Coturnix japonica: one gene and its partners. The protein of the gene in region 1 interacts with the protein of each later gene in a pairwise test. Links are inferred from orthologs where the notes say so. Each region holds a gene or a part of one and is shown on either strand. Other genes may lie near its edges.

Evidence for each region. The genes of interacting proteins can lie anywhere in the genome.
Region 2: the proteins of MAL2 (region 1) and TPD52 interact in a two-hybrid assay, tested with the Homo sapiens proteins (2 studies listed by BioGRID and IntAct). The link is inferred for Coturnix japonica from reciprocal best matches to the Homo sapiens genes MAL2 and TPD52.
Region 3: the proteins of MAL2 (region 1) and ARFIP2 interact in binary tests that used the Homo sapiens proteins (3 or more experiments, as listed by UniProt). The two-hybrid records come from large-scale screens. The link is inferred for Coturnix japonica from reciprocal best matches to the Homo sapiens genes MAL2 and ARFIP2.

What each region holds. Positions count from the first base shown.
Region 1 is NC_029517.1:122,946,741-122,952,085, forward strand, and holds the start of MAL2 (protein MAL2), read left to right. Parts: upstream 1-2,142; 5' UTR 2,143-2,311; coding exon 2,312-2,446; intron 2,447-3,734; coding exon 3,735-3,905; intron 3,906-5,345. UniProt on the Homo sapiens protein: Member of the machinery of polarized transport. Required for the indirect transcytotic route at the step of the egress of the transcytosing cargo from perinuclear endosomes in order for it to travel to the apical surface via a raft-dependent pathway.
Region 2 is NC_029517.1:109,520,355-109,525,559, reverse strand, and holds the end of TPD52 (tumor protein D52), read left to right. Parts: intron 1-641; coding exon 642-683; intron 684-1,667; coding exon 1,668-1,716; intron 1,717-2,609; coding exon 2,610-2,726; 3' UTR 2,727-4,002; downstream 4,003-5,205. Other genes in the region: MRPS28 (28S ribosomal protein S28, mitochondrial), read left to right, coding at 4,108-4,356.
Region 3 is NC_029516.1:174,021,976-174,026,524, forward strand, and holds the end of ARFIP2 (arfaptin-2), read left to right. Parts: intron 1-378; coding exon 379-494; intron 495-687; coding exon 688-909; intron 910-1,230; coding exon 1,231-1,388; intron 1,389-1,478; coding exon 1,479-1,653; intron 1,654-1,948; coding exon 1,949-2,104; 3' UTR 2,105-3,346; downstream 3,347-4,549. Other genes in the region: FH2 domain-containing protein 1-like, read left to right, coding at 4,163-4,414, 4,483-4,544. UniProt on the Homo sapiens protein: Plays a role in constitutive metalloproteinase (MMP) secretion from the trans Golgi network. May have important functions during vesicle biogenesis at certain cargo subdomains, which could be predominantly utilized by secreted MMPs, such as MMP7 and MMP2.

The DNA of each region.
Region 1 (5,345 bases):
TAATTCACCCTTTGGTACTTGCCGCATCTTGTAGATTATTTGTTTAACTTCCTCAGCCTTTGCAGGAAGTTCAGCTAAATTAATACCAAGGCTCTATCTTCATTTTGAAAAATGATTTGCTACCAACAACCTGATAGATCTGCAGATCTATGACAATCCCAACTTTACATTAGGCTACAGTACGCAGTTCAAGAACACCAAGGGGAAAGCTCAGCCTATACTCATCTAATATTTTAAGAGAGGTTTTTAGCCCCTTTGGCAGTATAAACAGACATTTTTATGTAGACTGAGTTAACATACTCCCATCTACTTTTTGACTCTGGTGGACTTATAGCAGCAGTAGTTTGCCTTGCAAACCTCAAGAATCATCAAGTTCCAACCACCCTGCAGCAGGCAGGGGCTGCCAACTTCCATATCTCATACTCACATTGCCCAGGGCACCATCCAGCTTGGCCTTGAACACCTCCAGGGATCTAACAGTGACATTTAGACATTCCTATGGTAGTCTACTAAAAGTGAAGAGTGTCAGTGTTAGAAGGAAAGTGCAGATTAAAACAAGCAGTATTCACAAGGAAGAAAAAAAAAAGAAAATACTGTACATGGTATGTAATCATGAAAAAAAACCTTGCTGCTGGAGTCCACGCTGATTGATTGTATGGCTGGATAACAAAGATAGAAATGTTTATGACCCAGTGTCATTTGTACTTGCTCTTTATATGATAAGCATAATCACATTTCATGTTCCAAATCATAAACTCATCAACCTAGATTTCCACCCACGCACATTTCACCCTGTGCAGAGCAATCTCAGCAGATTTATGGCCAGACTGTGAAGTTAACTGGACATATGTTCTCCAGAATGCAATCCCAAGAAAGAACCACCTACACCTCGTTAATTAGGCACTGGTTGAATCTATTGCCTTCCAAAACAGAACCAGACCAGAACTTAAGTAGGCATGCACCTCCAGAGCCTAGAATCCTTAAAGATAAATGAATGGAACACAGTGTTCATTTCTCAGATTTACCCAGACGAGGTACAGTAAGTATCAATTCTCTCATCTCATAACCAATGGAATAGATTGCTCAGAAAAGAGGAGGCCAAGCTTCTCTGGCTCTGAATGGAGATCTACATCTTGTACATTTAGGAGTGAGTCATCCAGCTACAAGGAGTGCAGCAATGAGGAGAGAGCACATGATAAAATACAAATTGATGCTTCTTCCTCCTCAAAGCTGAGCTAGTATTACTGCTTCTAGATGTGCAATAAGCACAGATGAGTTGTGTTTACAGGAGTTGACTGCTTCCCTACCTAGACTTTGGATTGAGGTGGGAGGACAGGCATCTCAGGTTAAGGTGTTCTGCACAAAGCAGAACTCTGAGAAACATCATGCATCTAACAAGAAAGGAATGCAACACCCTTGCTGGTTCAACCTCCAGAGCAGCTGCGCTTTCAAGAAACCTTAAAACATAGTCTTTTTTATCATAGATGAAGACATTGAAGATGAACATCCAGAAATACTGCATGTAGTAACATTGGCTGAAATAGTACATCACAGTGGACACCTTAAGTCTTCAGTCTCTGGGAAAGCAATGGAACAAGTCCTCCTAGAAACAATTACAAACCAAAAGGAGCGGGCAACCATGAAAACCCAACGTGGATTTAAGAAAAGCAAACTGTGCCTGACTAACCTTATCACCTTCTGGAACAAAATGACATCTTCTAAGCACAGGGGGTGAGCAGTGGATATTGCTTCCCTGGACATCAGCAAGGTACTTCATTTTCAACAGCCCCTCTCCTAGACAGACTAGCAAGGTACAGATTGGATGTGTGGTCTGCAAGGTGGGATGTGAACCTGGCTAACAGGCTGCACTCAGAGGAGTGCTTTTACTTACACAGGCATCCTGTCACAAGTGGGATATGCCAGGAATCAGCACTGGGCCCCACAACGTTCAACATCTACATAAATGATCTGGATGCTGGGATTGACAGCATCCTCACCATGTCTGCTGATGACGCTAAACCGAGTAGTGAGATGGACACATCAGAAAGGAGAGTCCCATTACACAGAGACCTGGACAGGCTGGGAGGGTGGGCAAACACGAACTGTGTGATGCTTAACAAGCTGCTCCCCAGCACAGCCCGCAGCGGGGCAGCCCGTCCAGCCGCGGGGCGGGGAGGGCAGCAGAGTGAGAGGCTGCCGGGGCGGTGCGCCGAGTCCCGCCCGCACCTGTTCCCTCCTCCCTCCTTCCTCCTCCTCCTCGCCCACCTGCCCGCGGCTCCGCGTTCTGGCTGCGCTCGGCAGCAGCAGCGACATGTTGCCCAGAGGATCCTCGTCCATGCCGCCGCCTCCCAACCCCGCTGCCTACTTCCCTCCACCGCGGGTCACGCTGCCCTCCGGCTTGGAGATCCTGCGCACCTATTCCGGAGCCTTCATCTTCCTGGAGATCGTGAGTGCGCGGGCCGGGCTGCCCCGTTCTCCCCTTGTCTCTCGCGTTTCCCTGCTCTCCACACCCGCCGCCCTCCCTCCACCTGCCGCCGTCTCGCCCACAGCGAGGGCGGCCGCGCTGCGCCTCACCTGCCATTTTGTGAGCGGCCGTGTGGGGAAAGATGGAGCCGTGCCCGGAGCCGTGCCCAGGGCGGCTGTGTGTGTGTGTGTGTGCCCTGAAAAGTTCGTGTTATGGGTTCTGTGCGAACTCCTACAAGTGCATTTAGCGTGTACTATCAGGTCTGTACGTAACAGAGCCGCACCTGCAGTCTTGTGGAACTGGAGGAAGGTTGGTTCTACACATTGGCTAAAAATGGAACCCCACGAGCAACCTGAAGGCCTGAAACTGCTGGGAGTTCCGAGCTGAGGCTGGCCATGCGTGTTACATTCATACAGCTGCAATGTAACGCTAGGGAGGACCCAACTAATTTTGTCACTGATTACAACTAATGTTATTGCAGGCATCTGTTGGAAGATGTCTCCCTTCCAACCTGCATTCGATGAAAGTTCTCTGAATCTGCCAATGCATTAAAAAAGACGATGCCGTTTCATCTCCTTTGTCTTATCTGATTACAGCTACAAAACTAAATAGTATGGGATTGAATCCAAATATGATGCGTATCCCTATCATGCGAACTTCAGTGTGTGCATATATATGGTAAAATTTTCAGCAACAGCACAGAAATTACTTGAGTTTGCCAATCCCATTTTCAAGGCTACTTTAAGAAAGGCTTTGTCAAGCCAGTGCCTAATGCCTACAGTTAGTGAGAACAGCAGTTGGGCTCTTAGAAGATCACAGAGCCATAGAATGGCTTGTGTTGGAAGGTACCTCATAGATCATCTAGTTTTTACCCTGTGCTATGGGCAGAGCTGCCACCAACTGGATCAGGCTGCCCAGGGCCCCATCCAACCTGGCCTTGAGCACCTCCAGGGATGGGGCACCACAGCTTCTCTGGGCAGCTGTGCCAGCACCTCACCACCCTCTGAGTAAAGAATTTCCTTCTGACATCTGATCAAAGTCTCCCTTCCCCCAGATCCTATTGCTGTCTGCCCATGTTAAAGAGTTGCTCTCCCTCCTGTTTATATAAGCTCCCTTCTTCAAGCACTAGGAGTACTCTTGAAGTGCCTCCTCTAGGTTTCTGAAAGCAATCTCAGGGCTTGATCTGTGATACAAAGTGCTAATTCTTTGACAGAGAGAACAAAACTGAAAGTTCTTTCACAGCTCATCACCTGTCTTCCTTTCCTTACAGCTGTTTGGAACAATAGTCTGGATTTTGGTGGCTTCTACACAAGTTCCACTGCCTCTGCTGCAGGGATGGGTGATGTTCGTAGCAGTGACTGCGTGGTTCCTGTCCCTTGTGTTCCTGTGTGTCTTTCTCTTCGGTTATTCAAATAGAATCGCTGTCAACTGGAACCAGACAGTAAGATATTTCAGAAATATATTTTTAATAAGTATTAAATATAAATAATATATGTGTTCATTCATATATATTTGTAGAAAATGTGTATTCTGTTTTATAAATTGAAAATGTTTGATGTACTTACACCAAGTCTGAATGTCTGGCCTTCTGTTTATAATAGGAATTCAGAAATGGAAAATGGCAGAGTAAGGCTATGTGGATGACAATGACCTCTCTAACAGTGGAGGCTGAGAGTACCTAGGGAATGAAGCAGTGTACTCTTCCTCTATAAGCACATGAAGGGCATAAGCTGCAGGAAGAGAACTAGTTTAGTAAAACATGAAAATAAATTTATTTAAATGGTCAGAAATATTATGAAGTGGAAATTAGAAAGTATTTTCCAACTGCTAGAAAGGTGAAGTATAAAGACATACCATTTCCTTGAAAACATTACGTATATTTTTGAACACATTGTCTGATGTGATTGCCTGGGGTAGCACCAGACAAAGCACCCAGGTTGTCTCCTTAGTTTCCTAAGACTGTCTTTAGCTGCCTTGTGGGTCTGCTCCTTAAAGCCAGGGCTGCTCTGACAGCTGGTTGTTATAGCTTAAACTAGAGGGAATGGTTTAGAACTAGAGGGAATGGTTTTAAGCTGCGTCAGGGGAGATTCAGGCTGGACATTAGGAAGTATTACTTTTCGGAAAGAGTAGTCAGGAATTGGAATGCACTGCCCAGGGAGGTGGTGGAGTCACCGACCATGGGAGTGTTCAAGAAACGCTTGGATGTGGCACTGAGGAATATGATTTAGCCAGGAAGTATTGGTAATGGTTGGACTAGATGATATTCTAGGTCTTTTCCAACCTTGATAATTCTGTGATAATTCTGTGATATATAGTCAAAGAAGGCATGAGCTGCAGTATGATGTAACTTAACCTTTTTCTAGGAGATATTTGTCATCTTTAGGGGAATCTTGGGGACATTACAGTCTTCATTATGCTCTGCTCAGTTCCTGTCTAGTGTGAAGACAAGACTTAATTCATGCTCTAATGGAGCGCTGTGTCTTGTGCCAGAAGTTCTCACAGACTGTGCCTTCCTATTGAAAAGGGAAGCTGTGGTTCTGTTTTTCACCAACCACGCAGATATCTTGGCTTATTGACTGCTAATTTATCTACTCCTTGGTTGTCGTAAGCTGATTTTTTACTGTGAGGTTTTGAACGCAAGGTGGTATGACTCTAATAATGCTGGGAATGAGTAATAACAGGTAGCTGAACTGCCATCAAAGTGTGAATCGTTTAGAAAAAATCTTCAGAAGTATCCAAACTTCTAAAATATTAAAGCATGTTTGTTTCTAACTGCTCATCACATTCACTTTGCTCCTAGGTCCCTTTGTTTTCTTACTGACAGTCTGTGATCATAGCTGGATTTGTCATTTTCAGCATCAGTATATTTGTTTATCTCTGT
Region 2 (5,205 bases), about 13 Mb from region 1:
GGTCTTTGAAGTTATCTGGGAGCTCCTTAGTGTAACTCCAGTCATTTAATAGGAATAGGTACATGTTGTCAGTATGGCAACACTGGCAGGTTACACAAATCTTCATGAGTTTCAGATCAGCATTGGAACTAGGACTTTCTCCTTGTCCCCACCCAGAACCTTTGAATATAGATGGGTGGATCTGCTCTCTCCTGTTAGTTGATTTTATATTGATGAGTGTGAAACGTGTTGTATCGAAGTGGGAACACAAAGTGGGCTAATCCTTGGAGTAGGAGGACTTGACCGATAACTCTTAAGTGTTTGCTTTATACTTGATATCATCACAACTGTGAATGCAGCATGTCTCATTGCTTGGAAGACTTAACAGGTAGACAGACTGCAGCTAAAAAGAAGAAAATAAAGAGTATGTAGTTACTAACAAGCATGGCACCTGAATACATTTGGAAAGGAAGGAGCTGCAGCTTTTGGTCTGTTGTACTCGTGTGTGCATGGCTAAGCAATTTTAAAAAGCAAACCTAAACTGTTTTTATATGACTATTTACCAAAGGTGGTGTCCGGTAAGTCATCTTTCTAAGCCAGTTTCTCCTCTGTCACTTCAACTAACTTCTTGCTTTCTTTTTTTCTTAATGCTGGCAATTTAGTATACGCTCCATACAACATTCGATTAGCATGCCTATTATGAGGTAACGTATGCGTAATCCAGCTGTTGGGTGTATTTGTTGTCAAGTGTGGAATCAAAAAGGAATTTAACTAACAGATAAAAAATGAATGGATTTCATATACTGATGTGTAGGGTGACATTTATTTCTGCTTAACAGTGATGGTATTTCACACCTGGAATGCGACTGAGTGTGCTTTCCTACTCTTTAGAGAGCTGTAACAACTTCTATCTTCTTGTTAGACCTGTAATATTTTGGAAGTTTAAAAGACAGTTGCTTGGTGTTACAACTGTCTATGAAAGCAAGTAAAAAATTTAGTCTTGGTCCAGCAAAGGCAAGCATTTGCCACTCTACACGAGGCAGGAAACTGTACGAGCTATTGTACAAACTGGAAGGCAGCAGTGGCAGCTAATTGGAGTATTAAGGCACTCTTTTGATCCTAGTAATAACAATACACTGAACCTCAATATTGAACACTGTGAGCTGTCCTGCTCTTCTCGTGCATTTATAATCACAGCTGTCTCTAGCAATTAAAAGGCAAAGGGGAGTCTCCATAAACTTACGTTAGCACTGTGAACTGTTCTGTTAATTAAACACACAACCTGTTAAAGTTATTTTCCTATGACAAGCAAAAAAACCCAAGCAAAATAAATCCCCCAAAGAACCCAACTCAGCCAAGTTTTATTCAGGATGGCAAAGTGTTCTAACCCATAAGCCACAAACCTGCTATTTTCCCTTCCATTTTGTCATTAAAGAAGCTAGTGTTGATACTGGCAATTGCTAACTGCAAAAGGTGTGAATGAGCTGCAGCTTGACTGTTGAATTTTAGTTTTGTAGTATAAGTAGAGATCCAGTTATAAGCTATTTTGGGCTATCCTTAAAAATAAGGAAAAAGCCCCAAACAAAATGCATGTTGACATTGGAAAAAAACCACTGTTTGCTTGTTCTCTGATGTTTATACGCTGACTAGATGTGTTTTTAATTCTGTGGTTCCTTTTTGTCCCCTAGAAATTCTCCTACTTTCAAATCCTTTGAGGAAAAAGTTGAAACCTTGAAGGTAAGTGTGACTTGGTGATTGTGGAGCTGTGAATGTGGAGAAAAGACCTTTGTGAGCTCTGGGTGACTTTTTTTTTTGCTTGAATTTTAAAGTTATTGGTAAATTGTCAAGGGGTTCTTAGGTGATGTCTTCCTAAGCACAGGGGAAACAGTTTCTCTGCCTAATGACTTGAGAAGAAAACAAACGTGGAAAATGCCTTAATCAGGTGGCTTAACCTGTATCTAACTTCCACAGACAGCTAGTATAACATACCTAGTGTTATATATTGAAAATACATAGCACAGCTTGGGATGCTTGCCTTGTTTCTGACATCAAATGTCATAAAATGTGCAAGGTCTTCGTGCCTGGATTTTGCAGACAGTGTTTGTAAAAATGAATTGACTTAGAAAAACTTTAAATGCCGGAAATAACTATAAGTAGCTTCTCCAAATTAAGCAAACAAAGCAAAAAGCAAACTCGGCTTTTAAAAATTGCTAGTACATGTAATGAGATTCGGGTTTGACTTTTTTGGGCACACTGGGTTAGGTGAGAAGCATGCAAAAAATAGCATGTGGATCTAATGCTGTCTAGCAAGCTGAGTGTTGCTAGTGCTCACACCACAGTACACAGTACATACTGCACAGAGAAATAAAAAGGTAAACATGTTGCCGTGTAAAAGTATCATAGCTGCTGGGTTTCACTGTGGAACTGGAGATGAGCTCTCAGCCTCAACTGAAAACCATTCCAGATCCTTATGCTTATGATTAAGATCTTGTCCAAATAACCTTCAGATGTAGCTCGCTCCTGGAAGAGTTGAGCTGAAGAGGGTTATTAAGCCGCTTTGTGCAGAGGTGCAGCTAACCTGTGTGCCATATAACTGCAATTTTATACTGAGGCTCTTTCTTATGGTTTAGTCTAAAGTTGGAGGAAGCAAACCTGCCAGCGGGGACTTTGGAGAAGTTCTGAACTCAGCTGCCAATGCCAGTGCCACAGAAACGATTGCAGAAGAGACACAGGAGGAGACGCACTGAGATTCCTGCCTCTGTCCTGCTACCCACTGCCAGATGCTGCAAGCAGGAACCAAGCACACTTGTAACATCCTCTGTGCTCTTTCCACCAGATGTGCTTTTCTTTAGCACGTAGCTGTTGTAACAGATGAATTGATACCAAGCTTGTTGTGGGTTCAGATTATTTTTGAAACTAAAATACGTTGCTTGTTTGGGGTTTTGCGTGGGGAAGGGAATTTTTATGCCTTTCAAGCATTTAAAGGACTTATCCCTTATTTGAAGGCAACCTTTGAAATACAGCGATGAAAAACTCTTTGGAGAAGTTAATTATACTGTACATACGTGTGGATACATAATTCTTTTTGAATCTGTAGCTACTGTTCAACTTAATCATTTTGAATCTACCACTGCTGCCAAACTGAACCTTGCTACTGCACTCCCTTCTCATTATTTCAGTTACGTGTTGCCTGCATGGGACACCAGACTTAGGAGGGACACTCACAGCTTCAAGAAAGGCTTTCAGCAGGCTTTAAACATGTTATTTGTATCAGGCTTACAGCCGTGTGGGAATGTATTGAGTTAAAAGCTTCCAAGAGATGCGAGTGGGGGTAATGCATAACATCTAGAACTTGGGACTTGTCTGTGGGTTACCCAACTAGGAAGGCTCTGTTAGCAAGATGCCTATTAGTGCTGGTTTAGTTCAGTGATGCTGATGCTTTCAACACTGCATTTTGTATGAAATGTTGGGGGGAAAATATACTGTTAGGATCTCCTGATCAGCTGTGAGTCATCTTAATTCACACAGTAGTGTCACATTTACACCAACAGGAATGTGAGGATAAGTCTGGGCGTGAAAGTGGGTTTTCTCTTAGGCATCAACTTGCTTTCGAGTGCTAATGTTGTTTTCCTTGTAGCCTGGCCATTGATAAAACGCCACATCTGTTTGTAGCTGTGAGGGCCCTGTAGGAGCAGGGCACTGATGCTGTTAACACCTAAAGGCAGTGCCCTGTGTCCGAGGGCTGCTCTCCCGCCTGTTGCTTTATGCCATCGTTCTCTGCAGATTCTGCTTTCTGTTTCTGACACAAGATGTGGGTAAGATCATAATTTCTGGCAAAAAATGTGTTTATCGCTGTTCTTAGAACTGGAAACCAGCTTTGAAACAGCTGTGTGTGAAATCTGTGCTCCTTCACCTGCTGCAGATGTATAGAATAAAGGTTCCCCGCCTTTATTAGCATGTCAGTTGCAGTGTATATACGCTCAATTACATGCCCGAAGTTCAATAAAACCATTATGTGTGTAACGTAGTGTCTGTGTGGTGTTGCTGTGGGTCACAGGGCCGATCGGCCGCGCTCGAAGAGTCACGTCCGCCAGGTGCCGCTGGTGCCATCTCTCCCTCCCCTCTAAGATGGCGGCCGGCGCATGCGCCCACAGGGGTCACAGTTCGTGCCCGCCCACCACGCGGGACAACATGGCGGCGCCGGGCTGGAGCCGGGCAGCAGCGCTGGCGGGCGCCCAATGGCGGCTGCTGACGGCAGCGAGGCGGCGGTGCAGCGGAATGCCGCCTGAGGAGACGCCGGCCGCCCCGATGCTCCGGCAGCAGCCGCGGAGGCGGCCGGGCAGCGCTGGAGGCACCGGGGCCATGGATCCCCGACAGGTGAGGGCGCGGCGAGGAGGGCGGGTTGTGCTGCCCTCAGTGCCGCGCTGCCGCCCCGCATCGCCGCTGTGGTGGCCTCGTGTTCCCGTTTGCTCCGATCTGTCGGCTCGTCCCACTCTGTGGAGATTCCCATGATCAGTTATGACTTTTGATCGCTAAGAAGCGCAGCTCCTGCTACATCAGCCTCCCCGCCGCTGCCCTGACTGGCGCTTGTATGGCCGGTAGGGGGGAGCCGCGCTGCGCCGAGCTGTGGGGCTGCCCTTGGGATGCGTATTTCTGTATTGAGAGTGGTGAGCACTGGAACAGGTTGCCCAAGGAGGTTGTGGATGCCCCATCCCTGCAGGCATTGAAGGCCAGGCTGCATGTGGCTCTGGGCAGCCTGGTCTGTTGATTAGCAGCCCTGCACATAGCACGGGGGTTGAAAGTACATGATCATTGCGAAGAGGAGAGATACAGAGACACGACTAACATTTATATAACATAAAATCCAGACTCCAACACAGCAGAGCGTAGTTTATATAACGTTAATAAGGGGCAGATTTATGTGTGAGTCAGAAGTCACCTGGTCCTGGAGGATATGCAGATACCTCTGGGCCTTCATAGCTGTGCTACTTGATGCTCAGTCTGTGCTATTGAATAAAAGCAAGCAGGCAAGGTTTTAAAGAGAATACCTTACAAATCATTAGAGCTGCACAGTGAATTAGTTGCCGAAAATCCTAATATCTTCAGTGAAAAGTAAATGATGCTTTGCCAGAACACTCAGTCACTGCTTGGAGGTGTTCAAGGCCAGGTTGGACGGGGCCCTGGGCAACCTGATCTAGTAAATGTGTATGTTTGGTGGCCCTGCCA
Region 3 (4,549 bases), on another chromosome or scaffold:
CTCCCATGTGGGCAGCAGCCAATGCAGTGAGCACCAGGGCCTTGGTTATCAATGTCTAGTAGGGTTTTGGGGGCCAGATTCTGTGCTGCAAGAGGCCAAGTCCTGCTGCTTGCAGGCAGGTGACAAATCACAGGACACTGAGGGCTCTGTTGAGCCTGGTAGCAGTGCCTGACTGGCAGGGGGGAGCCGCTGCCTGCCTGCATCTCATGGGGCTGCCCAGGGTGGATCTGCCTGCACCAGGAGTCTGCTCTGCTTGCACTTCATCAGGCCGCAGTGTGGCCCTGGGAGCAGCAGCCCTGAGAGCACTGCAGTGTGGGGTGGGCAGCCTGGCCTGCATCCAAGCCCTGTGCTGAGCCTCACTGCTGTGCTGTGTTCCAGGCTCTGGGCTTCACCAGCCTCATCCCAGCCCACCGGTCGGAGGGGAGGAGGTTGTTCGCGGCATCGCTGTGGAGAAGTTTGACATTGTCAAGAAATGGGGCATCAACACATACAAGGTACGTCGCATCCCTGGCTGATCAATACATACAAGGTATGTCACATCTCTGGCTGTGCAGCAGGGCAGAGAACTTGGGCAGGGGACAAAGGAGCAGTGATGGATGGGGAGCACATCTCGGCACCAGTGCAGCAGCCCTACAGGGATGGGAAGGGACCAGGCCCTGACACCCCTTCCCTCTGCTCTGCCCGCAGTGCACCAAACAGCTGATCTCAGAGAGGTTTGGCCGGGGCTCCCGCACGGTGGACCTGGAGCTGGAGACACAGATTGAACTGCTCCGGGAGACAAAGCGCAAGTACGAGTGTGTGCTGCAGCTTGCACGGGCTCTCACCAACCACTTCTACAGCCTGGTGCAGACACAGCATGCCCTGGGGGATGCCTTTGCGGACCTCAGCCAGAAATCTCCTGAGCTGCAGGTATTCCTGGTGGGGCTGTGGGTTGTGCCTTGTCTCTGCTCTGCCTGGGGAGGAGACCCACAGTGACCCTGGGGTCTCTGCAGCACGGCCTGGGCAACGCTCTGCTGGTCAGCACCGCTGGGCACGTGAGGGAAAGCGGGAGGAGGCTGAGGGCAGGTGCACTGTGTGATTGCTGTGGGGCTGGGGAGAGGTGTGGGGCTTTTGCTGCTGGCTTTTCCTGGGCACAGCTGGAGCAAGGCTGGGTCTGGGCAGTTGGAGGAGGGCAGAGACACAACGGGATGTGCTGCCGCAGCCCCTCACCCACCTCCCTCCCTACTGCAGGAGGAGTTTGGTTACAACGCAGAAACACAGAAACTGCTTTGCAAGAATGGTGAAACACTACTGGGAGCTGTTAACTTCTTTGTATCCAGTATCAACACGCTGGTAAATAAGACCATGGAGGACACGCTCATGACAGTTAAGCAGTACGAGACAGCCAGGTAGGACGGCAGTGTGGCCCGCAGGTCTGGCTGCAGCTATTGGAAGGAGGGACTGCTCTGCAGCTCTTGACTTTTGCTGTCCCTGCGCAGGCTGGAGTATGATGCGTATCGCACAGACCTGGAGGAGCTGAGCATGGGCCCCCGGGATGCCAGCACCCTGTGCCGGCTGGATGCAGCGCAGAGCCAGTTCCAGAGCCACAAGGACAAGTATGAAAAGCTGCGAGCCGATGTGGCCATCAAGCTCAAGTTCTTGGAAGAGAACAAGGTGGGGAAGGCTGCGGGGCACAGGATGGGGCCCTGTCGTGCACGCGTGTCCCTTGGCCCTGCCTTGCAGGCTGCGCTGCCTTGCTGCTCTGTGCTCAAGGTGCGTTTTTGGGGAGCTGTGAGGGGAAGAGCAGGTGAGCTGCCACGCTCCTGCCTTCCACCCGCAGTGGGTGGTCACCTCCCAGCTGGCTGCTGCAGCTCTGTGCTGGGCAGACCTTGTCCTGGCCCATTCCTGCCGTCCCGAGGTGCTGGGCAGTGGGGCTGGGTGGCTGCGTGTTGACTCCTGCTCTCCCCAGATCAAGGTGATGCACAAGCAGCTCCTGCTCTTTCACAACGCCATTTCTGCCTACTTCGCTGGGAACCAGCAGCAGTTGGAGCAGACTCTCAAGCAGTTCAACATCAAGCTGAAGACCCCTGGTGCTGAGAAGCCCTCCTGGCTGGAGGAGCAGTGAGCCCCCCAGCCTGCCCCACCTTGTGCCCCAGCCGGGGAAGCCATGGACCATAACTGGGACCTCTGACTGCTGGTGTAGGGCCAGACCACAATCACGAGTGGTGAGCTGGGGATGCAGCCTCGGCCCTGCTGCTGCGGGGGGCACTAATGGGGCAGGGACCCGGTTAGGGGCAGGTGGAGCTCTGAGTGGGTCACTCCCCCAGCCCGTTGGAGTCCCATCCTGCCCAGCCCTGTTCTCCCTCCCCAGCGCTGACCCCTTGGTGGGATGGTGGATGCCTTCCCAGGACCCCGTAGGGCCAGACACTCCCCTCCTCAGGCTGGGCTGCTCAGACCCCACCAGGCACCTTTGTGGGACAGGGTGGGATGTGCCACAGCCCCCCACTGTCTCCCCATGGTGCAGCAGGGTACGTAGTTCCACGTGTCCCAGCTGCTTTCCCTGAGCCAGGCTTCGCAGGGCTGGGCAGGACGTGCCACCACCTCTGGCAAAAAAAATGTATATTTTGAAATGAAGACAAAGCTGCACAGGGGTGGCCCTGGGGCTGCTGGGTCCCCTCCTGGACCCTGAGAGGGGTGGATGAGGTCCCAGCCCTGGTGCAGCTGGTGCCCGGGGCTCCTGTCTGCTCCTTGCCCCAGACCTGCCCCGTCCCCTCTGGCTGATCCCTGGTGCTCCCAGGCAGCTGCTCTCGCACTCCCCCAGCCTGGCTGGTGCCCCCATCCCCACACTACACTCCCTTTGGCGATGGGGTGGTTGTGCCTGGCTGTCTCCCAGGCCGCAGCTCCCATCCCCTGGCCGGGGCTTTGCCAGCTCCCACGGGTGGACGCAGGAGGGTTTGGCCGCGGCCCTTGGGCTGAGGGCTGCTTTCCCCAGGGCGCTGTGCTCCCAACCCTGGAGGCAGGTGGGCAGCCCCACTCCCTGAGCACCCACAGGCACCTCGAGGGGTGGTGGGGACTCAAACCAAGGACCAAAGGGTGGCTGCATCCCAGGGACGGTGCATGTGCGTGTCCGTGTGCGCTGCGGCTGCGGCTGCGTCTCCGCGTGTGGCAGCGCTGGGGCCCTGCCCGGTATCCCAGCGTGGGGACAAGCTCATCCTGCTCCAGCTGAGTGTTGCTTCGAGCCCCGGCCACGTGCAGCACTTGGGCACTTTCTCCCGAGACAAGACGGTTTGTTTTTCTTGCTAATTTAATTCCTGGTAATTTAATGTCTGGATCTGACAACCTCCCCCCCCCCCTTTCCTGGTGAAGGCTGTAAGACTCCAGAATAAAACAGTATGGATCAGAATAAAGCAGTACAGATCAGAATAAAATAGTGTGGATCAGAATCTTGTGGTGTGGATCCCTCTGTGCACGGCACAGACAGACCTGAGACGGGGATTCCCTGCATGCCAATGGCTCCCCGAGGCCCAGAGCTGGTTCTGCTGCTGCAGTTCTTGTCCCACTTCTCCCTCTGTGGGTCTGGTTCCGTGTGGGGCCCAGCATCAGGGCTCGCCCTATTCCCCTGCCCACCCCAGGGTGCTGCTTTGGCTGTGGGTGCCGTGTGGCCGATGGAGCCCTGTAAGCACCGGGGATGAGGGGGACCAGAAGAGGGGAACGAATTGTGTTACCATCTCCAGCATCGAGCCGAGAGCGCCCTGGGTCGGTCTGACACCGGGTTTAACGCCATCAGCGGGAGCTTCGTAGCGCGGCGGAGCCCGAGGCTGGATGGGAGGAGCACAGAGGGGAGAACGGATCTCGGAGCAGGACGGGGGGAGCCGGGGGGGCTGTGACCGGGGGAGGGCGCGGGGCGTCCAGGTACCGTCGGGTGCGGGCGGCGGGAGCGGTGCCGGGTCGGTGTTTTGTCCCGGTCCGTCGCTGCCCGGCGCGAGGTGAGAACGGGCGGAGGGGCCCAGGAACGAGCTCGTGTCGAGGCCGCTGAGCCGCCCCGCTCCGCCGGGCTGGGACCGGGGCCGGTACTCGGGGGAGCGGCGGATCCTCCCGGGGCGGAGCCGAGGCGGGGCGGGGCCGTTCGGGGCCGTAAGAGGAGCCGGGCGGCCGCGCTCACCCCCCACCCCCCGCCCCGGCCATGGACTCGCAGCGCAGCCCCGCTCCTCCGCCGCCGCCGCCGCCGCCCCCGGCGCTGCCCTCCCCCCCAGCGGCCGCGCGGGGCGAGCGGCTGCGGGCGCTGCACTGGGAGCCGCTGTCCGCGGCGCGGGTGCGGGGCCGCCGCTCGGTGTGGGCGACGAGAGCCCCCCCGCCGGCCCTGGACCTGCCCCGTCTGCGGCTGCTGTTCCGGGAGCCCCGCGGAGCGTCCCCGGGGCAGCGCCCGCCGCCCGCGGTGAGATGCGGCCGGGACCCCGCGTCCCCGTTACCGCGCCCCGCGCTCTGACCGCGCCGCACCCGCAGGCAGCGCTGCTGGAGCCCAAGCGGAGCATCGCCCTCGGCGTCCTCCTGAAGCAGCTCAAGCGGTGAG